6 linked regions of the Cricetulus griseus genome follow. The protein of the gene in region 4 purifies or fractionates together with the protein of the main gene of each other region. This does not show direct contact. Links are inferred from orthologs where the notes say so. Each region holds a gene or a part of one and is shown on either strand. Other genes may lie near its edges.

What was found.
Region 1: the proteins of Nolc1 (region 4) and Csnk2a2 purify together in Homo sapiens (affinity purification with mass spectrometry; 5 studies listed by BioGRID and IntAct, with this or other methods). This does not show direct contact. The link is inferred for Cricetulus griseus from reciprocal best matches to the Homo sapiens genes NOLC1 and CSNK2A2.
Region 2: the proteins of Nolc1 (region 4) and Nop58 fractionate together in Homo sapiens (co-fractionation; 3 studies listed by BioGRID, with this or other methods). This does not show direct contact. The link is inferred for Cricetulus griseus from reciprocal best matches to the Homo sapiens genes NOLC1 and NOP58.
Region 3: the proteins of Nolc1 (region 4) and Tcof1 purify together in Homo sapiens (affinity purification with western blotting; 4 studies listed by BioGRID and IntAct, with this or other methods). This does not show direct contact. The link is inferred for Cricetulus griseus from reciprocal best matches to the Homo sapiens genes NOLC1 and TCOF1.
Region 5: the proteins of Nolc1 (region 4) and Nop56 purify together in Homo sapiens (affinity purification with mass spectrometry; 6 studies listed by BioGRID and IntAct, with this or other methods). This does not show direct contact. The link is inferred for Cricetulus griseus from reciprocal best matches to the Homo sapiens genes NOLC1 and NOP56.
Region 6: the proteins of Nolc1 (region 4) and Arrb1 purify together in Homo sapiens (affinity purification with mass spectrometry; 4 studies listed by BioGRID and IntAct, counting the BioPlex papers as one, with this or other methods). This does not show direct contact. The link is inferred for Cricetulus griseus from reciprocal best matches to the Homo sapiens genes NOLC1 and ARRB1.

The regions. Positions count from the first base shown.
Region 1 is NC_048596.1:171,640,315-171,643,814, forward strand, and holds part of Csnk2a2 (casein kinase II subunit alpha'), read right to left. Parts: intron 3,464-3,500; coding exon 3,363-3,463; intron 2,066-3,362; coding exon 1,917-2,065; intron 1-1,916.
Region 2 is NC_048595.1:413,956,978-413,960,477, reverse strand, and holds part of Nop58 (nucleolar protein 58), read right to left. Parts: intron 1,558-3,500; coding exon 1,436-1,557; intron 460-1,435; coding exon 323-459; intron 1-322. UniProt on the Homo sapiens protein: Required for the biogenesis of box C/D snoRNAs such as U3, U8 and U14 snoRNAs. Part of the small subunit (SSU) processome, first precursor of the small eukaryotic ribosomal subunit.
Region 3 is NC_048595.1:178,248,605-178,252,674, reverse strand, and holds the start of Tcof1 (treacle protein), read right to left. Parts: upstream 2,801-4,070; 5' UTR 2,717-2,800; coding exon 2,609-2,716; intron 720-2,608; coding exon 664-719; intron 1-663.
Region 4 is NC_048596.1:15,493,971-15,497,902, forward strand, and holds the start of Nolc1 (nucleolar and coiled-body phosphoprotein 1), read right to left. Parts: upstream 2,801-3,932; 5' UTR 2,730-2,800; coding exon 2,610-2,729; intron 455-2,609; coding exon 399-454; intron 286-398; coding exon 143-285; intron 35-142; coding exon 1-34. UniProt on the Homo sapiens protein: Nucleolar protein that acts as a regulator of RNA polymerase I by connecting RNA polymerase I with enzymes responsible for ribosomal processing and modification.
Region 5 is NC_048599.1:48,334,196-48,338,355, reverse strand, and holds the start of Nop56 (nucleolar protein 56), read left to right. Parts: upstream 1-1,360; 5' UTR 1,361-1,483; coding exon 1,484-1,486; intron 1,487-1,645; coding exon 1,646-1,735; intron 1,736-2,056; coding exon 2,057-2,171; intron 2,172-2,322; exon of another isoform or gene 2,323-2,393; intron 2,394-2,470; coding exon 2,471-2,632; intron 2,633-2,806; coding exon 2,807-3,005; intron 3,006-3,128; exon of another isoform or gene 3,129-3,262; intron 3,263-3,336; coding exon 3,337-3,524; intron 3,525-3,607; coding exon 3,608-3,759; intron 3,760-3,931; coding exon 3,932-4,032; intron 4,033-4,094; exon of another isoform or gene 4,095-4,160. UniProt on the Homo sapiens protein: Involved in the early to middle stages of 60S ribosomal subunit biogenesis. Required for the biogenesis of box C/D snoRNAs such U3, U8 and U14 snoRNAs. Part of the small subunit (SSU) processome, first precursor of the small eukaryotic ribosomal subunit.
Region 6 is NC_048596.1:99,980,193-99,984,410, reverse strand, and holds the start of Arrb1 (beta-arrestin-1), read left to right. Parts: upstream 1-1,418; 5' UTR 1,419-1,640; coding exon 1,641-1,696; intron 1,697-4,218. UniProt on the Homo sapiens protein: Functions in regulating agonist-mediated G-protein coupled receptor (GPCR) signaling by mediating both receptor desensitization and resensitization processes.

The sequences.
Region 1 (3,500 bases), about 160 Mb from region 4:
ACTGTTCAAAATTCACAATATTTCTGGTGATTTCTGAGTACCAACATCATACCTAGCATGTCATAAACAAGGGTGAATAAAAAAGCCATTGACAACTGGGAGGTGGTGGCGCAGGCCTTTAGTTCCAGCACTTGGGAGGCAGAGGCAGGCGGATCTACAAGAACTAGTTTCAGGACAGCCTCCGAAGCCATAGAGAAACCCTGTCTGGGACACGCCCCCCCCCCAAGAAAAAAGAAAACAAACAAACAAAACCCCAGCCATTTTAAGCAGCAGTGAAATATGGAGTTTATTTAGGGAAGTAAACAAACAATGATTATCTAAAATATCTATCAGGTTGTTTTTATTATTATTCCTGAGGCAGGGCCTAACTATATACCTTAGATGGTCTTAAATTTGCAATCCTTACACATTTGCCTCATGAGTTTACACCAGTACTGCTTTTTATTTTGGTTTTGTTTGTTTGCTAGCTTGCTTGCTTGTTTTTTGAGACAGGGTTTCTCTGTGTAGCCTAGGCTATCATGGAACTCACTCTGTAGTTCAGGCTGGACAATTTGAACTCAGGGATCCACTTGCCTCTGCCTTCCCAATCCTGGAATTAAAGGTATGCATCACCACCGCCTGGCTATTTTGTTTGTTTGTTTGTTGTTGTTGTTGTTTTTAAGATACAGTCTTACTATGTATCCCAAGCTGGCCTTAGACTCACAAAGATCTGACTAACTTTGCCTCTGAGTACTTGGTTTAAAGGAGTGGACCACCACTCAGGGCAACACCAATATCCTAAAGTGGCCTATCTTGAAGGATAAAAGCAGCTTTCTGTGTTGGAAATTAGAAAGCAAACAATGGAATGTCAGCTGTTTAGGGTCCAGAAGGCTAAATGAGAAGACCCTTTACATTTTTTTGTTGCCTTAAACTTCTGCCTAAAGTTTAAGATCATGGCAATAAGTCCTTCCTATCTGTTAATATTACTGGGAATTAGTAAACTCCAAAGGAAAAAGTGGTCAAACAACAGACAAAAACTTTAAGGAACAGAAATGAAGATAAGTCACATTCAACTTCTTCCATGACTAGACTAAGCCACCCTCTTCTGTCAATGACAAGGGTGATGTGTCTAGGAGACTTTCAGTGGGAAGAACACTACATGGACCCAAAACACAAGCAAGTGCAGAAGGAACACATATGCTCCGAGAGATGTCACAGGTCAGAATCCAGCTGCCATACCTGCTACCTGCTTACCTGCAATTCCTCTTGCTTACATGTTGCTTCCTTTAGAATCACATTAAAAAAGCAATGATCTTACTACTTTGTTTTGTTTTTCAAGACAGGGTTTCTCTGTGTAGCCCTGGCTGTCCCGGAACTCACTCTGTAGACCAGTCTGGCCTCAAAATCACAGAGATCTGCCTGCCTCTGCCTCCTGAGTGCTGGGATTAAAGGTGTGTGCTGCCACCACCACCCGACCTGATCTTACTACTTTTAACTAAATATTATTATTATTATTATTATTATTATTATTATTATTAATTGGTTCAAATTAGAAACAAGCTTGTTTCATATGTCAATCCCTTCTCCCTTTCCCTCACCCCCATCCCTCCTCCTCCACCCCCCCTAAATTTTTTTTAAAAGAGAAAAAATAATCTTTGATTAGGTTTTTGCACTTGAAAAAAAAATCTTAGATACCTTTCAGTATACAAGCCCAGGGTGATGACAGTGGGTTATACAGCCTGGCCTCAGAGGTACTACTAACATTGAACAGCAAACACCTTCGAGAACTAATCAAATCACCCATAAAATGGCCTCAGTGGTCCAGTAAAATGAATAAAATTTAAAGCCAAATTCCTAGGCTGATCTAAATCCAAATACCTAGTTTTCTGTCTGACCCCAAAGATAAAGGTGACATCTTTTGCCATTTAATAACTCACAGAAGTACGGGTGCTCCATGGCCTCTTTGGCAGTCAGTCTCTGTTGATGGTCGTACCGCAGGAGCTTGTCAAGAAGATCTAGGGCCTCAGGACTGACAAGGTGTCTGTTTTCACTATGGATAAAGTTTTCCCAGCGCTTCCGTGAATGTCTAAAAAACAAAAACAAACAAAGTGAATATTAGTATTCTGAGACTAAACAACCAGATAAACCCTCCTTTAATAGACATAACATAAACAAACCCTTAGAATACTGCACTTCGTGCAACAGCTGAAGCTCATTCTTATCGGTGCCCACTTCAAATGGGCTAGTATACACACACTGTCACCCACAGTTATAACCATGACATAAAACTGCTCAATTATTAGATGAGCAGAATCTATTGAAAATATCTATATCTGAGGGAGAATTGTTCAATCTTTCTGGATTACTCTTATGCCTGTCTTTTAATCAACCGTGAGTAAGGCCTGGCGGTGACTAAGTGATGCACTGGTCAGTAGATATATTTAGAAGGTTGGCTTTAGAAACAAGCAATTTCATAAAATAATGCCTGAAGACCACTAGCCAAACATTTACTTTTAACACACTGCACTGAGGCTGGACATGGTGGCACACACCTATAATTGAGCACTCAGGTTGAGGCCAGGAGGCTACACAGCAAACAAATAAGACCATCCCCACCCCAAAATACCTAAGTCACGAAACTAGGTACTGTACCTGAAAATTTAGCATGCCTTAATATTTATTATAAAACTTCAGAAAATAAGCTATTCACTTATTTGAAGAAGCCTCGTTTTCTAAGATTTGCCATCAAAATAAGCATATGCAGGGCTAGGGAGATGGCTCAGTAGTTAAGAGCACTGGCTGCTTTCCCAGTGAACCCAGGTTCAGTTCCCAGCACCCACATGGTAGCTATTAACTATCTGTAACTCTACTTCCAGAGGACCCCTTTTCTGGCTAAGCATACACACACAGTACATTATGTGCACACAGGTAAAACAGGCTTACATATAAAACAAGAAGAAATAATTTCTTTTGAAAAAGCACAAGCTTTGACCAAATAAACATTTTTTCTATAACATTATGACTTTATTTTCCATTTGCTTCCACAGGATCAAACTCTTGATTCTCCTGCTGCAGCCTCCCAAGTGTTGTGATTAGAAACATGCATATCTACACAAGGCTTATTTTCCATTTTCTACTGATAAATAGGAGTCGTACCATTTGGGAGGCCAAGGCAGGTAGATCCCGGTGAGTTCAAAACTAGCCCTGATCTACATAGCCACTGAGACCCTGGTTCATTCAATAAATAAGTAAATAAATATCAATATTGAAGTTAGAAAAGGGAAACTGGATGTTGTCTAACTTTACCACTTCTGAAGTAGAGCAAAGTGCTTCCTTCTTTCCTTTCTCCTTCTCTCCCTCCCTCCCTCTCCTTTCTTACTTACTGTCCCAAGATATCATTGAAGTGTGGATCTAGGTCTATGTGGTACTTCTTCAGATATCCATACAGCTCATCTGTCCCCAGAACCTTGGCAATTCGAACAAGCTGAAACACAGAACAAAACTGACCCAACCACCAAGCA
Region 2 (3,500 bases), on a different chromosome or scaffold from region 4:
ACAGGCAATAGGGGCTAGAGAGATGCCTCAGAGGTTAAGAGCACTGGCTGGTTTTCCAGGGGTCCTAGAAGTTCCATTCCCAGCACCTACATGGTGGCTCACAACCACCTTCTTCTGGCCTGCAGGGATACATGTGAGCAGAACAATATATACACAATAAATAAATCTTAAAAAGCTAGGTTCTGTGGGTTTACATCACTTACCAGCTATACTGAAGGTGAGCAATAGCAACATCTTCATATTAAATAAATACTGGTATCATTTTAAGTATAGTACACTTAAATCTATGTATAAAAGTGAGCATTCTTTCTCTAAGTCTTACCTGTGGGCCAATCCAAGACACATGGCTGCCATCTCACGTGGTTCTACCCCAGGAATCAAGCCATCCATTTGTGATCGAATTCCTCTCATAAGTTCATTAACAACAGGACTATGGATACAGCTGAGATTCAACTTTTCCTATAAGAACAAGATGAAAAATAGTTTTCCTGAAAAACCATCTTTTGGTTTTCAGATAGTGACTCACTAATATAGCATAGACTGATTTCAAACTCAGAGGAGCAATCCTGCCTCAGCCTCCTGGAACGACCAGCATGTGCCACCACAGTGAGTTGTGAAATAATTTGATCTAATAGTATTGATTGGTTGGAAAGATGGATGCTCTTGGAGAGGACCTGAGTTCAATTTGCCACACCCACACAGTGGTTCGAAGCTACTGTAACTCCTGTCCCAGAGGATCTCATGTTCTTTTTCTGACCTCCACAGGGACCAGGCAACAGACATAACCAAGGACAAAATACTCATACAATAACAATAAAGATGTTGAATTAAAAAAAAAAAAAACCACAAAACTGTATTTAAAACTTAGCAATGAGTCAGGCATTGGTGGCTCACGCCTTTAATCCCAGCACTGGAAGGCAGAGGCAGTTTGAGCCAGCCTGATCTCCAGAGCGAGTGCCAGGATAGGCTCCAAAGCTACACAGAGAAACCCTGTCTCAAAAAAACCAACCAACCAACCAACCAACAAAACAAACAAAAAACAACAAAAAAACTTAACAATGTTCCTGTGTCATATCTGTCCACTTCCCCTCTATTCAGTAACTCCTTGATACAGACCACCTCCATTTCTATATTATACTGTACAAGTTATTACAGGCTTACGCCACCATAATTCACTTAATGGTTTCCCTCTTGTACTTTTACACCAGCCACTGAAAACTTCCAATGTGATAAAAAGTTATGTGACGGTTGTCATACCATGTTAATAGACTCTATGAGTAACAGAGTTAGCGTTTATTTTATCCCTTTTTTGTTTATCTTTATTTTCTACTGGAGCTTATTATGCTGCCTAAAAGAAAAAGACTGATTATGAAAACTCATGACAACCTAGTACAGAGGGCAGGCTCTGCAGGCACAGAAACCATGGCTCCTTTACCTTTATCACCCCTCCTAGTTTAGCGTCAGCCACAGCCAGAGGTTCATGGGCTTCTTTTACTATTTTCTTCAGAACTTTCTTCAGCTGCTTATTGATTTTGCCCTCCATCAGAGCTGTAAATGCTTTTCAGGAAAACAGAAAAATATGTATTATAACTAAGAGAGCTCTTCTCATGTAAATTTTAAAGCAAATACTTGCTTTTAAAAGGTCCAAGTGTTTCTTTTAAAATGAAAATGACCCATGTTGGTGTATGCCTTTAATCCTAGCACTTGGGAGACAGAGGCAGGTGGATGCCTAAGTTTCAGGCCAGCCTGGTCTACAAAGTAGATGCCAGAACAGCCAGGGCTGTTACACAGAGAAACCCTGTCTTGAAAAACCACAAACACCAATGTATAAATTTTATAAAACCCATTCATAAATTCCAGGCATGGTGGAATATACTTTGATCCCAGCATTTCAGAGGCAGAAGCAGGAGGATTGGAGTTAAGCTTATGGTTCTCCTTTAGCCTTCCAAGTGCTGTGATCTAGGAGTATTCTATTATACCTGGCTATTTCATTCCACCTTCTAATGCTGTATACACTGCTTCCAACAGACTTCTTCCTTTCATTCTTTTTACTTATATTTTTAGGCTTTTGGAGCTGGGGATGGAATACTTGCTTAGCACATGAAAAGCCTTGGGCCTGATCCTCAGCAACACATACTTGAATAATTTAAAGTTGAACTTGATGTTTCTAGTTTAAATGTTGTTGCTTTTTTACATACATTATTTTGCCTACATGTATACCTGTGCACTACCTGCATGTCTAGTAACTGTAGAGTCCAGAAGACAGCACCAGATTCCCTGCAATTGGGATTACGAACACCTGTAAACTGCCATGTGAGTGATGGGCTCCTCTGGAAGAGCTGAGTTCTCTGGAAAAGCAGCCACTCCCCAGCCCATCTCTAGTTTATGATCCATAAGACCCAAGTTACTTAACCTAGCACAAAAGCCCTTCTCTTAAATATGTATTTTTCTAAATACAAAATCCCTATACTAGACTAACTTTAGATTCTATTCCAGATTATCATCTGGAAATAGTTATCATTTCATCAAAAACAATCTCATATATTTTAAGAAATAACTTCAAAAGCTGGGTGTGGTGCTGTGACTTTAATCACGGCACTCAGAAGGAAGATGTCAATCTCTCGAGTTTGAGGCCAGCCTGGTCTACACAGAAATCCTGTTTTCGGTGAAGGGACAAAGAAATAGCTTCTGGGGGTTGGAGAGATGACTCAGTGATGAAGAGCACAGGCTGCTCTTCAAGAGGACCTGAGTCCATTTCCCAGCAAACACATGGCAGCTCACAACCCAATATAACGTAACCCCATGGGATCCAATGCCCTTTCTTTTGGTGTGCAGACAAAACATCTATTTACATGCAATAATTTTTTTTCTGGTTTTTGAGACAGTTTCTCTGTATTGTTTTGGAGCCTGTCCTGGAACTCACTCTGTAGACCAGGCTGGCCTCGAACTCAGAGATCTGCCTGCCTGCATCTCCCTCCCGAGAATAAAGGTGTGCACTACAAATGCCTGGCACAATAAATAAATAAATAAATAAATAGATAGATAGATAGATAGATAGATAAATAGAAGTAACTTCTAACAAAAATGGGGCCAGTGGGCCAAGGCCAAGGCTTTTGCCACCAAGCTGGGCATCTAAGTTTGACTCCCTAGACCTATTGTGGTGACGAGAACTCTCACTAGTTGCCCAATGTTAGAGGAATAAATAGCTCTATTAAATACCATGAACTTCTGATACATTAATATTAGTACCACAGCCCATGAGACTCTAAAGCTACATTTAAATTGTTTAACACTGATCTACAGTGTTAAACAATCTACTTAGCTTTGACCAAACTGTTTTATAGACCAGAGAGAGATGGTTCAGTAGGTAAAATGCTTGCCATTCAACCCTACAAAACTAAATCAAGTTCCTGGATTCCAGGTAAAGATAAAAGGAGAGAAATGATGTCACAAAATTGTTCTCTCATGTTCATGTATGTATCCTGGCATGTATACCTGCT
Region 3 (4,070 bases), on a different chromosome or scaffold from region 4:
AAAGCCAAAAACCAAACAATCCAAAACAAAAAAAAAGGAAACCATCTGTTCCAATTCTTTTCTGTGACAGGATCTCACTATGTAGACCAGGTTGGCCTTGAACCTAGAGATCCTCTTGCCTCTGCCTTGAGATTAAAGGTCAGTGCCACCACAAGCTTTTTTTTCTTTGGGGGGGGGGGTCGAGACAGAGTTTCTCTGTGGCTTTGGAGGCTGTCCTGGAACTAGCTCTTGTAGACCAGGCTGGTCTCAAACTCAAAGAGATCCATCTGCCTCTGCCTCCCGAGTGCTAGGATTAAAGATGTGGGCTGCTACCACCACCTGGCTCAAGCTTTTATTCTTAAGAGATCCATCTTTCACTGGGTGTGGTCGGACACTCCTTTAGTGCCAGAACTGGAGGCCAGCTTGGTCTACAGAGTGAGATCCTGTCTCAAAAACAAAACAGCAACAACAAAAACAGATGGGCTCCAACTCAGAATGTCTCCCCCTGTGATAAGCTACACACAGAGATTACCCATATATATGATATAACCTGCCTTTTGAAGGTGACAAGTGTCCACAGTGGGCTATTGGATCATATCTTAGACCACATTAGTATATTACCTTGTGGCAAAGATGATCAGTTATGGTAACCCTGTTCTATCCCTTCCATTCCACCAGACTTACTGTTGCCAGTGTGTATAGATGTCCAGAAGGGTGGTGGGCTGAGTCAGGAAACTCTTCTGTAGAGAAATAATAATAGAAAGCTCCAATAAGTACGCAGTCTACTCTGTAGACCAGGCTGTCCTTTAACTCAGAGATCTGCCTGCCTCTGCCTCCTGAGTGTTGGGATTACAAATCAAAGGCATGCACCATCACTGCCTGGCTGGTTCAAGGGTTTCAGTTAAAACAGAGGAAAACAGGTACCAGGCCTAGGCCGAGGATACACTGTGTAGAAATCAAGACTGAACAGCCAAGTGCTCTAATGAGTCAAAAGAGACACACGTAGAGGGGAAAAAAAAAAAAAAAAAAAAAAAAAAAAAACCAAGCCAGCACCCAAACAGATTGGCCTAGAGTCTGGAAGAGCTCCTACTCACTGGATAACTCATCTCTTATCTCTGCAAACTCCAGGATACTTCTTTACAGCTCAGTAAACATAAGATGGAAAGGGCTGCTGTCAGTCTGAAGGGCCCTATCTAGTCAATTTGATTCTGCGCTAACTCAGGCATAGTGTCATAATAAATAAGTTGGACCACCAGTTCCTAACAGGGCTTTGTCATTCCTGTTACTGTTCTCCTTCTTGCCAACCACACAGCTCAACTCTCCACTTCTTCCTAGTCTCTACTCCAATGTCATCTTCGCCATAAGACTTCTCTGACCACCTTAGCTGTAACTGGAGTCTGACATTCCATATCTTCCTTGCTTCCCCTCACTGTGGCCAGCACCTGCCACAATCTAGACAGGCTAATCTACAAGCTTATTTTTATGTATCTGCTCTGTGAGAAGAGGTACTCTTGCTTGGGCACACAAACCATGATGATGGGCACTATGTCCTGCTTCCCCTATCTGTTAGGGCATCAAGGTCCAGGAAGGTCAGGAAAACCACATATAACATCCTAAAGCCCAGCAGCCTTCGGTTTTGAGTTCGTTTGTTTCTGAGACAAGTTCTCACAACTTAGCCCTGGGCTGGCCTTGAATCCATTATGCAGACTAGGCTAGCCGTGAGTTCACAACATATCCACCAGTTATTATATATCTCACCAGTGATTACCACTGCTCTTCTGGGAAGATTACCCATGGATCATTCCAGCCTCCATCTCTTTGGGAGACTCCATAGTCATGGATTTCAAACTTCAGGTACAGCAAACTTTCTGGAGGCTAGAACACTCAGAAGCTCCATTCCAACTTCAGGGCATCAGCACCTATAACTACCCATCTCCCTTGAGCTCTCCAAACCAACTACTACACCCTCAGAGAAGCAGTCCTGGGTATTCCCCACCCAGATTCTGCCAGCCATGTTTTAACATCTCAAATCTCCCATTCTACAGCTTAATACAATGTTAACCGTACAGAACACTTGTGATACTTTTGTGAGATGAGCAGGGAGGCCTGAGACTGGCGGTCCCCATTTCGTCATCTGCACCCCAGGGTCAAACTAAAAGTTGCCAAGTGGAAGAATTACTGCACCATGAGTTTGAGTCTTGTTATAACCGAAGACAGTCAAGGGCCTGCACGCCCTGCATTCCAGATCATCAACTAAGGGGGCCTTCCTCTCCGTGTTCCAAACAAGGATGATGACAATCCACCCCGAGACCAGCGACTAGCAGGGTGCCCTAGGAAAACTGCATAGAGCCACGTGGCCTGAAACTAGGGAAACTTAAACCTGCGGCTACCGGGAACCGGGGCGGGAATTACAAAGCTGCATGCCTCGGATCAGAGGTTCCGGCCCGCCCACTGCACCGACGAGGAAACTGAACCCCGGGAGGCGGCTGGAAGTCGCAGGGGTTAGAGTAGACCTTAATGCTCCTCCTGCACCCCTGGTCCCGCATCTCGGACCCGCGCTGGCCGGGTCTCCAGGGAGGGGCGCGGGCTACTGCTCTCTAGGTCTTGCACTTGGCCCTCCGACGCTTACCTGGCCGCTCTGTTCCTTCACTTCCCTCGCCGCGCGGACGTAGCCAGCCTGCAGCAGGTGATGGTAGATGAGGGGAAGCAGCTCCCGCCGCTTCCTGGCCTCGGCCATGCCAGAGATCCGGCCAGCCTATTCACGTGCACGCCCCCTAGCCCCCCGCCAGCCTCTTCCCTCGTGCCCTAGGACCTCATGCTCCTCACTTCCGGCTTTGCGTCACCTAGCCGTGTGGCGCACTGGGAAATGTAGTCTTGCAGCTGGAGTGGGCCATACCGTCCGAGAGGGCGGAGCCACGAAGGCTAATCATCTCTGCCATTGGTTTGGAGGCGTGGCCTGATTTCGACCCGCCCTCGGGACGGCCATGATGGAAAGGGCTCCTTCATCTTAATTCTGGTTTACTTTTTTTTTTTTTTTTTTTTTTTTTTTTGGTTTTTCGAGACACGGTCTCTCTCTGTAACAGTCCTAGTTGTTCCCTAGCTGTCCTGGAACTCACTTTGTCGGTCAGACTGGCCTCGAATTCACTGAGATCCGCCTGCCTCTGCCTCCCAAGTGCTGGGATTAAAGGCGTGTGCCACCACTGCCCTTGAAGGGCTTTATTGACCTGGTCTTAACGATAGGGCATCTTTATTCATCTTCGAACTTTCTGATCACTGGCCCCAGCTTCCAATTACTCATTATTTCATACAGTATTTAGGTCCAGGCATCAGTTGTCATTAGTGTGTTGAATCACTACATAAATCCTTACCCAAACCCTATATGTTAGGTTAGCACCCAGCTAGGCTGAGGACATGTAACGAGAAACAAAACAAGCAGTTGACTTCAAAGATCACCCAGGCTGGAGATACAGTTGACAATTACAGTTCAAGAGAAGGCAGAGCCCATGGAAGCATGGAGGAGGGGCACCTAACCCAAAGAGACTTACATACATTTAGATTCAAAGACAGGAGACCGCCTCCCACACCTCAGGTAAGGTTTCTTTGGGTAGTCCTTGCTGTCTTGGAACTCGATCTGTAGACCAGGCTGTCATCGAAACCGCAGAGATTTCCCCTGCCTCTGCCTTCTGTGTGCTGAGATTACAGGCTTGCATCACCACCGCCCAGCAACAGCAGAAACGGAAACTTTTGAGCACCGAAGAGAGGACAGGCTGGAGGTACTGCACGAGTCAGAATGTGTGAATCAACTTGTTGTTTAGTAAGGGAACCCCAAACTCTGTACTGCTAGGCTGGAGAGTTGTGAAAAAGAGAGTCCAGAATACTGGAAGCAAGCTTATAGTACCTTTTTCCCAACAGAGTTCTGACATGCTGCAAAGAGAATATAAAACCAGGGGCTGGCAGTGGACCATGCCTTTAATCCTAGCACTCAGGAGGCAGATCTGGCCAGCCTGGTCTACAGAGCAAGTTCCAGGACAGCCAGGTTTACACAGAGAAACCCTGCTACAAACAAATAAACAAAGAACTCCAATGTGGGC
Region 4 (3,932 bases):
TGCTGAGGCAAACTGGTTCGCTTAGCAGGTACAGCTGAATAGAAAGATAGATAGGGACCCACAAGAATCACCATGCTGTCCAGGCAGGAGTCAGATGCCCTTCCTGGAACACCACACAACCACAGACCCCACACTGCCTTACCAGCCTTCTTTGCCGGAAGTCCTGGGGCTTTTTCCTCTTCCTCACTGCTATCCTCACTGCTGTCACTGGAGGAAGTCTCCTTCTTTGCCTTCTTGGTCACTGGTCCATTTGACTGTAACTTCCGCTTCGGGGCTTTGGTGGACCTGGTGATGTAGGTTAGGCTGACTTCTGAGGGATGGGGACCTTCTCAAAACAAGGAACATAGCCCCGCCCACCTAGGGGGAGAAACAGCCCAAGTGTAACAAGGAAAGCTTACTTGAGCCAGAAGCTATAGATGTCCAACAGGGAAGAGGCATTGGCATCCTGCTGCGTCTGCAAGAAAGAGGCTGAGTTGAAGAAATGTTATGACCTCTAGGTCAGATTCTATGTTACTCTTTCATCAAATATAATCTGTCAGCGACTAGTGATCCCAGAACCTAGAAGACAGAGTTAGGTGGATCTGTGAGTTCAAGGCCCACCTAGCCTAAACACGAGTTATACAACAGTCAGGGCTATGTAGAAGCCGTCTCAAAAGAGAAAAAAGAAAAAAGTTATCTCTTACTTACCTACTCAATTTGAAATGGATGTTAGATCTTTGTAAGTTTTCCTACTTGTGTAAGTCAGTAGAAAAATATTCTACTTATATATTGCCTAACTTCGAGCATAAAAAAGGGCAACCTCTGATACTATTTAGCTATTCCTAAGCCTTTCCAACCATATTTTTCAAAGCCTTAGAAAGACTTCAGCAATGAAAATACAATAAAGAATATTAATTGAGGGGCTAGAGAGATGGCTAAGTGGTTAAGAAAACATATTACTCTTCCAGATGACCTGAGTTCATTTCCCTGCACCCACTAGGAGACTCACCTGTTAACTCCAGATACAGTTTCTGACACCTCTGGTCTCTGCAGGCACCTGCACTCATGTCCACCATTGCAGACTTAATAAATTGACTTTTTAAAAGGCACTAGGTGTGGTGGCACATGCCTTTAATCCCAGCACTCAGGAGGCACAGGAGTCTGATCTCCCTAAATTCAAGGACAGCCTGGTCTACAAAGCGAGTTCCAGGACAGCCAGAGTTGCTACACAAAGAAGCCCCATCATGAGAGGGAGAGAAAGAGAAAAAGAGGGGGGGGGGGAGAAAGAGAAACTAAGAGGGTGTGGAGAAGACAAACAAAACACCAAGACCAAGTGTGCAGCCTTTAATACCAACACTGGGGAGTCCGAGGCAGGAGCATACCTGTGAGACCAGTCTAGTCTGCATGTAAGTTCCAGGCTAGCCAGGGTTACAAATGAGACATTATCTCAAAATTAAAAACAAGACAAAGGTAACCTAAGTTTTTAGTCATGGTTTCATCCTTGGAAAAAGACCACAGGTCTAGTCTTTGAAGGTGTTTCCAGGAACAATAGAACTCTCCTTGAGATGTAGACTCTAGACATTTCAAATTCCTCCATTTTATCTTGCTCTTAAGGTGGGTTCAAATTGACGAGACAGCTGTCACTCATCCCATGTTTCCTATCTATTTACAATGGGATTATTACTTTGTGTATCTTCTCTTTGTCAATCTCATGCACCCAAATTCTGTAAATTAGGCAGGGCACAGTGGCGCACACTTTTAATCCCAGCACCCGGGAGGCAGAAGCAGATGGTATGAGTTTGAGAACAGCCTGGTCTACAGAGTTCCAGAATAGCCAGGTTACACAGAGAAAACCTTGTCTTGAAAACAAAACAAAACAAATTATGTAAATTAAATGACATCCTGCTATGCTCAGGGATGTTAATACACGCCTGTATCTCAGCATTAGGAAGATGAGCAAGAGGAACAGAAGTTCAAAGCCATCCGCTACTACACAAGGGCTACATAAAGACCCTGTCTCAAACAAAAGACGGCTGCCGGGGTCATATATGTAGAAAAGTCGCAGAACCTGGCCATAGCCTATGTTTCTTTTATTTCACTACCCAGAGCTCCAGTGAAAACTGGCAGGCCAGGATGCTCACTCCTCCTACAGTATACTGAAAGCAGCCTCCCCCTATATTCATTCATTTTTTTCTTTTGTAAAAATTAAATAAAACCCTAGCCCTCATTGCTAACAATTTATCTTCAGAGGCTCAGGCTAAATTGCGAGCAAGGGTAAGGCCAACAAAAAAGTACACCATATGAACCAGGCACCGCCAATCCACAGCTACCTGTGGGACCCAGCGCTTGCCTCTCATCGTATGTTGTCAGCCACATGACCCGGGCGGGCCACGCGGGACCCATGCCTGCCGCCGCTGCAAAACTCATCAAGTAAAAGCAGTAAGAGTCCCAGTCAGACGTGGTGGGAGGCGGCGGTGCGGCCTCAAGCTCTCATCGGTGGCCAGAAAGGCCTGGCGGACCTTGGGCTGACAGACCCCAGACCTGTCCTCCTGACTCCTAAGCGTGTCGTCAAGGCCTCGGCTCTGGGCGAGCCGTCCCACCCCGGGCCGCGGACCAAACCCAGCACTCACGGCGCCTGTCGCTTTTGCAAACTTGTTGGCCACCTCCGAGAGTTGGTTATCACGCAGAAAGCCGAGCACGAGGGGATAAAGGTCGCTTGGAACCACGCGGCGCAAGCCGGTATCCGCCATGCTCCCGGTAAAACGCGTCACTACCGTCGCGCACGCTGCACGACTTCAGGACTCCGAAGCACGCTCAGGGCAGGGGGCGGGCCCAGTGTCGTCATCACGTCGCGCGGCGCGCAGCGAAAGCGTGGGGCTCCGCCTCGGAGGCAGGATGTAGGCGACGTCCATCAGCTCCTTCCGGTCTCACGTGCTTCGCCATCCTGCTAAGGGCGGAGCCCGCGGGCCGCCCCTTACGAGGGCGGAGCCTCCGCGTCAGAGATCATGCGCCGGTCTTTGGCGGGAAAACTTGCGACTTCCCGCGCGTTATCTTTGCTGTAATTTTTTTTTTAAAACAGTAGTTTTCCCATCCCCGGCTGATAGACCGACCCCACAATAATGAATGCATTGCAGTTCTCCAGTCTCCTTCACCTTTCTAGGTGTCACCGACTGCTCACATTCCCACTGACCATGGCCTCTCTTCACCTTCACTCCCTGTGACACCACAGCCCCAGGCTCAAATCATAAGAGGATCCTTAAAAGTTGCTTATTGTGGTGACAATGGTGTTAATACATCAAACTGCCTTTCAATCATACTTAGGTTACAAGACAATTATACCTTCCCTAAGAGAAAGGGATCTTGTATGAAACTCGAATCAAACGGCAATACACTCTATTAGTGCTAAAAATAACTCTCCCTAAGTCAGAGTCACACTGAATTGTCACAACTCTATGCAGCGTTTTTAGGTTACATTAGTCATCCCTCAGGAAGCAATAAAGATCCATTTCCTGTGGACACCCTTCTTTTACTTCCCTCAAAACAGGCATGCCTTTCTTTCTCCTTCAGAGAACTGTTATCTCCCTCTATCCTGTATATGCATTAAAAAAAAAGAAACCCGAAGGGCAAGGTCACACCCACCTTTAATCCTCGACACTATAGAGGCAGAGGCAGGTAGATTACTATGAGTTCAAGGCCAGCCTGGTCTACAGAGGGAGTTCCAAACAAAATGTTTCCAACACAAGCACTGTGACCAAGCTAAACTGGTGCTTCAGTGAAACTTAACTAACACAAGCTCCAATTTAGAAAACCTTTGTTTTCAAGAGTTTCTCATATGTGACAAATGCCTTTAAACCCAGGGCTGGGGAGACAAAGGCAGGATCTCTGCATTTGAGGCCAGCTTGGTTTAACAGAGAAACCCTGTCTTAGACCACTTCTCCCTAGATTTTAAATAC
Region 5 (4,160 bases), on a different chromosome or scaffold from region 4:
CACAAAGCTTGGGCTTTCACCCGCAGGGTACACATACATGGCCCTTCTGGTCACTTCTAGGGTTCCATGCAGCTGAAGTCAGTGGCAAGGGGTAGGACACAAGTCTATTTTGGCAATGAGAGTTGGAGGGCTGGGCCTCTGTCCATTTCCATATAGTTTCAGGGCTTCTACCTCTCCATGGGACTCATCAGCCCATTTCTTATTCGACGAAGTCAACAAGCATGCAAAGGGCTAAGGACCAGAAATGACAAGACCTAATCCTCCTGTGTCTGTGGAGACACTGGACCTACTGGAAGAGCCATGTTTACAGCCCCTGTGCTTGAATTTTGTGAAGTCACTGAGTTAAGAAAACAAAACAGACCTAACTTATAAATGTGCTTTCTGATAGAATTTCCAAAATCCCCCTAGGCGTTGTAGAAGAGTAAGCAGAGGGTCTGCAATGGATTCTCTATAGATGGCACAGGGCTGGGAGGCAAGAGGATCAGAAGTTCAAAGGTCATTCTCTGCTACAGAGCCAATTGAAAGACAGCCCTGGAAAGAAAGAGATAAAGAGGGAAGGAGGAAGGGAAAAGAAAGGAAGCGGGGAGAGAGAAAGGAAGAGCGACGGGAGATAAGGGTGAGGAAATGCGAGGTCGAAAGAAAATAAAGAGTGAATGGAAGGGAGGAAATCTTGGCATTGTTATTAACCCATTAAGGCACGGAGTATCTAAAATATAACTACGTTTGGGACTTGTAACTCTAACATTACTTAAAAAAGGTTTTTTCTTTCTTTAAAGAAAAAGTAATTTTAAACTAGCCACTTCGGTGTGCCTAAAAGCAGCCCTGGAGAGCAGGAAGCTGCTCCTTGATAGATAAGGGCCTAACGGGCGATGACAAACACGTGGCTCCGCGCAGAGCTGGCGCAGAGCTGTGAAACAGGGCAAGGAACAGACCTAAACCACCCTTCCTATGCACGCTACTGCTCGCACCAGTACTTTCTGAGCAATAAAATTTACGAGGAAGAGGCAGGCGGCGAGGAGCCGCCATTTTTGCAGCGTCTGAGGCGGAGTCGCAGGCGGCAGGCAAGGACCCGGACTGTCACCAGAGGCCTCGGGCCAGCGGAAAGCCTGCGACGCTCGTCATGGAGTGTCTCGTCCCCTCACCGAGTTCTGCCGCTCGGCCCACGGTGACAAAAGCACGAGAGACGGACAAGGGCGGTCTCCAGAGCACTATGCAGCCTCAGGCTAGAACGGACGCCATTTGCCCCGGTCTCCGCACCGGCTCGCGCAGCCGCAGAGGCTCGGATGGGCCGGCCCGCTCGCGCCCGCTGCAGTCTAGCGCGCCCGGCGGACGATACCACACCCGCGAACCCCTCCGAAGACATGAAAATGGTTCCGTCCTCAGCCTCTGATTGGCCAAGGAGGGGAGGGCGTGGTCTCCGCAGTCTAGTTCCGCGCGCCAGAGCGCGCTAGCCGCATTGCGAGCTGGGCACGGAGCAGGCGCCATGGTGAGGAGTGGTTGTGGGTTATTAGTGACGAGAAGGCCTCGGTGCGGGTCTGGGTGTGCGTTCGGATTCGGGTTCGGAGTATGGGCCAGGACCTGCTCTAAGAGCGGCCGGCGGGACTCGGTAGCTTGACTGATGGCCGCGCGCCGGTTCCCGTTTCAGGTTGTGCTGCACGTGCTGTTCGAGCATGCGGTCGGCTACGCGCTGTTGGCCCTGAAGGAAGTGGAGGAAATCAGCCTGCTGCTACCGCAGGTGGGTGGGATCGGTGGGCTCGGGGTGCTGCAATGCAGCCCCTAAGGCCGCCGAACCCCATCATGCACCGCGTGTTCCCACGTGGCCGACCGCACCGGCAGAGGGGGGGGTGAAAGCTCAGGAACGAGATTTTTAATTAATGCGTATCTGTATAATCTCCTTAGAGAGTGGAGATAAACACCTCAAATCTTGAGAATTAAAGTAGAATCGGGATGTGGAGCTTAGGCACCAGTGTTCCCATGAATATTACAGCTGGTTCCTGGTTTACTGCGCTGTGGAGGCCAAATTCAAAGAAAGCCCATTCATTCCTCCTCTCCACAGGTGGAGGAGTGTGTACTTAACCTTGGCAAATTCCACAATGTCGTTCGTCTGGTCGCCTTCTGTCCGTTTTCTTCATCCCAGGTTGCCTTGGAAAATGCCAATGCCGTGTCTGAAGGTGAGTTAGTCGCTCAGCGACGAGTGATTCTAAGCGACGGTGTTCTAAGATGATTTTGCTGAGCACGTGATGCATGCTAGGTATTGGGACCTACAAGATGACAGTAGGAGCTCACTGCTTCACAGTTGTGCCACCGTGGTGAAGCCAGGCTTTGCACTGATGACTTGAAAAATCTGTCAATCCACTGAGTGTGATCACTGATGTCTCCATGTTTCTGAGCAATGCCTGGAGGGGTGGGTGTTCTTTCGTGATCCGATGTGGAGGTGGAGTCTTACAGGTAAAGTGTTCTTTGTCCCAAGGTGTTGTTCATGAGGACCTCCGTCTGCTCCTGGAGACATACCTGCCGTCTAAAAAAAAGAAAGTATTGCTGGGGGTTGGAGACCCCAAGATTGGTGCTGCAATACAAGAGGAGTTGGGGTACAACTGCCAGACTGGAGGTGTGATAGCTGAGATCCTTCGAGGTAAGATAGTCCTCCTGTTCCGAAGCTGCTAAGATTTTATGTGTTAGTGCTTGCACTTACTGCGTGCACCATGTAAGTGCAGTGCCCACAGAGGCCAGAAGAGGGAGACAAGAGGTAGATGGTTATCTTGGCTATTCCGTGGCCACGTGTTTTATTCATAGTCCCGCCTTTTAGGAGTTCGTCTGCACTTCCATAATCTGGTGAAGGGTCTAACAGACCTGTCTGCGTGTAAAGCCCAGCTAGGGTTGGGACACAGCTATTCTCGGGCCAAAGTGAAATTTAATGTGAACCGGGTGGACAACATGATCATCCAGTCCATAAGCCTTCTGGACCAACTGGATAAAGATATCAATACCTTCTCAATGCGTGTCAGGTAAGATGCAGTGCATGGGCTACCAAACACTGGGCTCTTTGGCCTGTGGTTTAGCTATTATAAACTTAACAAGGGTCAAGCAGGGTTGACAATTCCTGCGGGTATAATCATGGGCTAAAGCCAGGCCTCCTTGTGCTTACCACAGGCTGTGTTCTTAACACTGACTGTATAGAAAGAGGAGGCAGAGTAAACCTACCCCATGTACACCTCAGCCTAGGCCATTGTGCCTGGTCTGAATTGTGAATGGGGAGACATGGATTTGAGGGAGACTTGGGATCTGGTTTATTTGAGGTTTGGCAAACTGGGTAAGGGAATGATTGTAACTCTGCAGGGAGTGGTATGGGTACCACTTTCCAGAGCTGGTGAAGATCATCAATGACAATGCCACCTACTGTCGCCTGGCTCAATTCATTGGAAACCGCAGGGAATTGAATGAGGAAAAGCTGGAGAAGCTGGAAGAGTTGACTATGGATGGGGCCAAGGCTAAGGCCATTTTGGATGCCTCTCGGTCCTCCATGGGTCAGTGCAGAGCCTGGCAACCTGCATAAGGTACGAGACTCCTTGAGTATTTGGTCCCCCTGTTCACACTAGGTGTTTCCTAGGCATGGACATATCTGCTATCGACTTGATAAACATCGAGAGCTTCTCCAGTCGTGTGGTGTCTTTGTCAGAGTATCGCCAGAGCCTACACACTTACCTTCGCTCCAAGATGAGCCAAGTAGCCCCCAGCCTGTCAGCCTTAATTGGGGAAGCGGTGCGTTATGGGACTACAAATGGGGGAGTAAAAATGTTAGCATACTGTACCGCTATACTTCTGGCTACCATGTTGTCCCTAGTTGTTGCATGGTGGGGAGGAAAATAGGGGTGAAACTGATAAGTCAAGTTCCCCCCTACTCACCTGGCTTCTTCCTTGGATCTTTCTCCAGGTAGGTGCACGTCTCATTGCTCATGCTGGCAGCCTCACCAACCTGGCCAAGTACCCAGCATCCACAGTACAGATCCTTGGGGCTGAAAAGGCCCTGTTCAGGTACCAGTGAGGGTGCCTGCCCATGTCAGGTGCTACTTCTGGTGCCCGCTGCTTTGTTTGGGGATTACAGTGATGGCTGACCAGGACTCCCTGACCTATACAGGCCTCTGCTATGGGGGTGATGGCCA
Region 6 (4,218 bases), about 84 Mb from region 4:
CGATGACCTTAAAACAGAGAGATCATTCTGGATTACCCAGATGGTCCCTGTGTCATCTCAATGGTTTTCAAAAGGAAAGGGAGGGCAGATCTGAGTGATGCCGTATATAATGAGAAGGCCACCTTCTCTCATTGACTTTGAAGATGGAGGAAGGAGGAGGCTTCCAGAAGCCAGAGAGAGTAGGAAGCAGATTTGCCCTAGAACCCCCCAGAAGTAATCAAGGGCTGCTGACACCTTGATTTTAGCTCAAGGAAGCCCACTTGAATTTCTGAAGCACAGAACTCTAGTTAAGTTTGTGTTGTTTGAAGCCACTGAATTCGTGGGACTTTGTAAATAGCAGCCACAGAAAATGAGCTTGAAGGGTTTGGGGACCCATGGATGGTTCCTTCTGTGCCTCTGGCTGAAAGTGGCATGTGACATTTGCACCCGCATTTCATTGGTCAGAATAAGCCACAGGGGGGCGTCCAACTCCACAGGAAGGAAGATGCCTGGCATCCCATACATCCAGCCTCAGGGAATCCTGGTGCCTGTAGGGAGTATCTAGTACATCTTTGTTGCCTGTAGCACTTGTTTCTATAGTCTAGTCCATCCCATTTCATTAAAAATCAAAAAATAAAGCCAGGTGTAGTGGCACTTATGAGGCTGAGGCAGGAGGATCTCTGAGTTTGAGGCTAGCTTGGTCTACATAGTGTGTTTCAGGATAGCTAGAGCTACATTTGTGAGACCCTGTCTTGAAAACAAACAACCAACCTCAAAATATAATCAGGCATAGGAGCGCATGTCTTTAATCCCAGCACCTGAGAGGCAGAGGCAGGAGAATCACTGTGAGTCTGAAGCCAGCTTGTTTGTATTTGAGTTCCAGGACCCTGCCTCAAAAAAAAGGATCTCTGTGTATGTACGTACTGTATGTGTATGTGTGCGTAGAGGCTAGAGGTCAACTATGGATGTCTTCCACTATCATTCTTCACCTAATTTTTTGAAACAGGGCCCATCACTAAACATGGAGCTTTCTGTGAACCCAGAGCTCTTTATGTAGGCCAGACTGTGTGGCCACAGAAGCCCCCGGGATCTGCCTATCTTTGCCTTCCCAGTGCTGAGGTTACAGGTGCAGCCTGCCACATATAGCTTTTACATGGGTACTGGGCATCTGAACTCAAGTCCTCATGCTTGTGAAGCAGGCGATTTATCCACTGAGCCAGCTCTCCGACCTGTAATGTTTTAAGTAGGTTTCCTAATCAACCAGTGACTTGCAACCTCTGGTTTGGACAATACTAATCTCCAGAGCCTCTTCTGCTCATGCTTCATGGACCACAGGCTATGTCCTGGACACAGGTGATTGGGCCAGGGGGTGGGGTACCTAATCAAAGCTGACCAATCAGATTCCTCTCCTGGGAATTTGGAATTGGGCCATTCAGTCAGTTAGCAGCGGGAAGCTGAGTGAGAGGCAGGGTAGAAACAGGGTTGGAGTGTGAGTCACATGCGAGCCCAAAGGATGGAGGAGCAGAAAAATCCCTGAGTAAGCGGGGCGCGCTGGTCCACAGAGACAATGGAGCAGCCGCACAGACAGCCTCGCAGCCAGGAGGCCCTGCAGCAGCCCCAGAAGGAGCGGTGGAGACAGGGAGCTACGGCTTGAGGCTCCGATGGCGTCCCCATTCTCAGCTCCGGCCCCAGCGCATCCTGCCTGCTCATCCTTCCCGTGAGATTTTGGCCTCCTTATTAGGACCTCCTCTTCTTTCTCGAGCTATCCTGAACCTTAACCAGGAAGGACACTGCTGGTCTTTCTCTTTGGGGAACCCAGCTGTGACTAAGGCTCAGGTTGTGGGGCACAGGCAAGGCTGGGGGTGAACAGACGCAGCTGCTCAGCAAGGCTGGCTGGGATTGTGGGCTTAGGTTAGGCCACGGGCAGAGAGGTCTATGCGGTGTTGCACACGTGGGGTTGTGGAAACGGAAAATACCCCATAGAGCCTCTTTTCTGACAGTGTTGGGGCAAGAAGTGAGTGGAGTTTTGAGTGGTGGTGCTTGGCTATGTGATGGAGTGGTTGAGTCTCGTGGGTGCCTCTTCGAGCCTCAATGTCTCCATCTTTGAAATGGGATTGTCCAGGAAGAGCCTTGTCCTGGGAAAAGTACTTAAAGGCATGAGTGGGGAATAATAAACAGACAGAGAATGAGGCAGCTGCTCTTGTTGTTTGAGGAAGCCACAAGAGTCCTGGCTTCCTGAAGGAGGTGGCCTCGGGTGCTGACTAAGGTAGTGGCAGGACATTCCCCACTGATGGCTGTGCTTCCTGCCCCTCTTCAGCCCCACTCTGCCCCTCACCCCAGTCACCTTTCATTTATCCCTCTCTCCCTCCCCTCTTGTCTGTTCTTCCTGCCGTTTTGAAACATGGATTTAGGAAACAGTGGGTTGGATTAAGGCACCAATCTCTGGAGGCCCAGTCAGAAGTGAGTCTGGGTCCCGACCTAGCCCCTTGCTTGCTGTGCTCCTGGGCAAGTTAATGCATCGCTTGGAGCCTCCAGTTAATTATCTGTGGAGTGGGAGTTAGACTATCCTTTCTACTATGAGAAATAATGAGCTGCTCGGCAGAGCTTTAATTCCCCTCCCCTTTGCCTCTCTCCGCTGCTTGGTGAATATTGCTCCTCCTGGCCCCACGTGTGCCTCGTCCTTCCCGGCAGCCACTAGAGTGGCTTTCTCTCTCAGTTGTTTATCCTGCCTGGGTGTGAGATCTTTCCTTTTCCTTAGAGCACAGGCTACCAAGGGCTGGAGGTAATTGTGACTTGGAAGCCACAGGGTTTTCACTTCTCTGGTTTCCTGGAGAAACATGGAGCTCCTAGCTTCTAGCTTGGAGTTGCTGGTTCAGATGGAGTGGTCTGCATTTTTTTCCCCTTACTTTAACAATTATCACACCCTGGCCAGTTGTGGCTTCTTCACACTCCCAACACTGATAAATATTAATGAGAAGACAAGGCTCCCAGGGCCCCTAGGGGAATGTTTGGGGAGAGGCTGGGCCACGCTCTCCTTTGCAAGCAATACTCAGACCTGTCAATATTCCCTAGGTCCCAGAAGGGAGGGTGAGGCAGGGCCATGGCTGTGGAGACCCCACACAGTCACAGGCCTGGATGCCTGCAGATCAGCTTCTGGGAAGGATTGGGGCACACCCTGCTGAGGCTGCCTAGGGGTTTCACCTTTCTGGGTCTGTCCCATCTCTCCCTGCTTCAGGCTTTCTGATTCTTTCCCTGGTTTTCTTCTCCTCCTGTCTCTTGTTCATCTTTTATTTTCATACCTCTACCTCTGTCTCTCTCTTCTCTCTTCACACCTCCCCTCCTTTCAATACCTTTCCTCATCCCCATCTCTCTAGCTTTCACTTTTCTTCTGCCTCTCCCCAGTAATGGCTGAGAAATTGTGGGCTGGATAAAGGTACTTAGGCGAGGGAGACTCGGGTTCCCAGACACAGCTCTAGAAGGGGAAAGGTTGCCATGAAAGGCAAGTGGCACTCTTCAGGATTTAGGGACTACATTACCATCTAATCTCAGGCCCAGTGCTCTGCTATTCGAGCATAGGCATCTGCCCCCACATTCCTGTGCCTCTGTCCCTCAGTGAAGCAATGAAATTCATTCATTTATCTGTTCAACTAGTTTATATTGTACTCTTGCCACCCTCAATCATTTAACAAGTATTTCTTGAACAATAGTGACGTGTGCCTTTGTGTGTGTTTGGGATGTACCCGTGGACAGGAGAGACAGTGGGCATATTTGGAGCGGGCATGCCAGCAGAGCAGACAGGTGGGGCAAGAAGTAAAGTATATGGTCAGGGGGTTGCTGGGAAGAAAGGAAGAGTGAATCAAGAGAAGGACTGGCTGACAGGGGTAGTGGGATTGGGAAAGTGGGCATTTGGGAAGAGTGTCCAGGGTAAGAGAGTAGGGTAGGGGAAACTGGGAGCAAAGGCCTTGTGCAGCAATCACCTGGTGGATAAGGAACGAGGAACAGAGGGGCTGGAGAGCAGTGAGGCTGGAGACTAAGGGAGGGTGGCAGGAGGTGACATAGGGAGGGAAAGAGGCCAGGTCAGATCACTGGGACTTAGCAGGCACTGAAGGATTTTCCTTTACTCGAGCTGGGTGGGCTTGTGAGTCTCCCTCAGCCCACTCTGAAGGATTGAAGGAGGGCTGCAGGCAGCTAACATTCATCCTAGGAGGAGAGGTGGAAGGAAGGAAGCTGTCCTGCTCT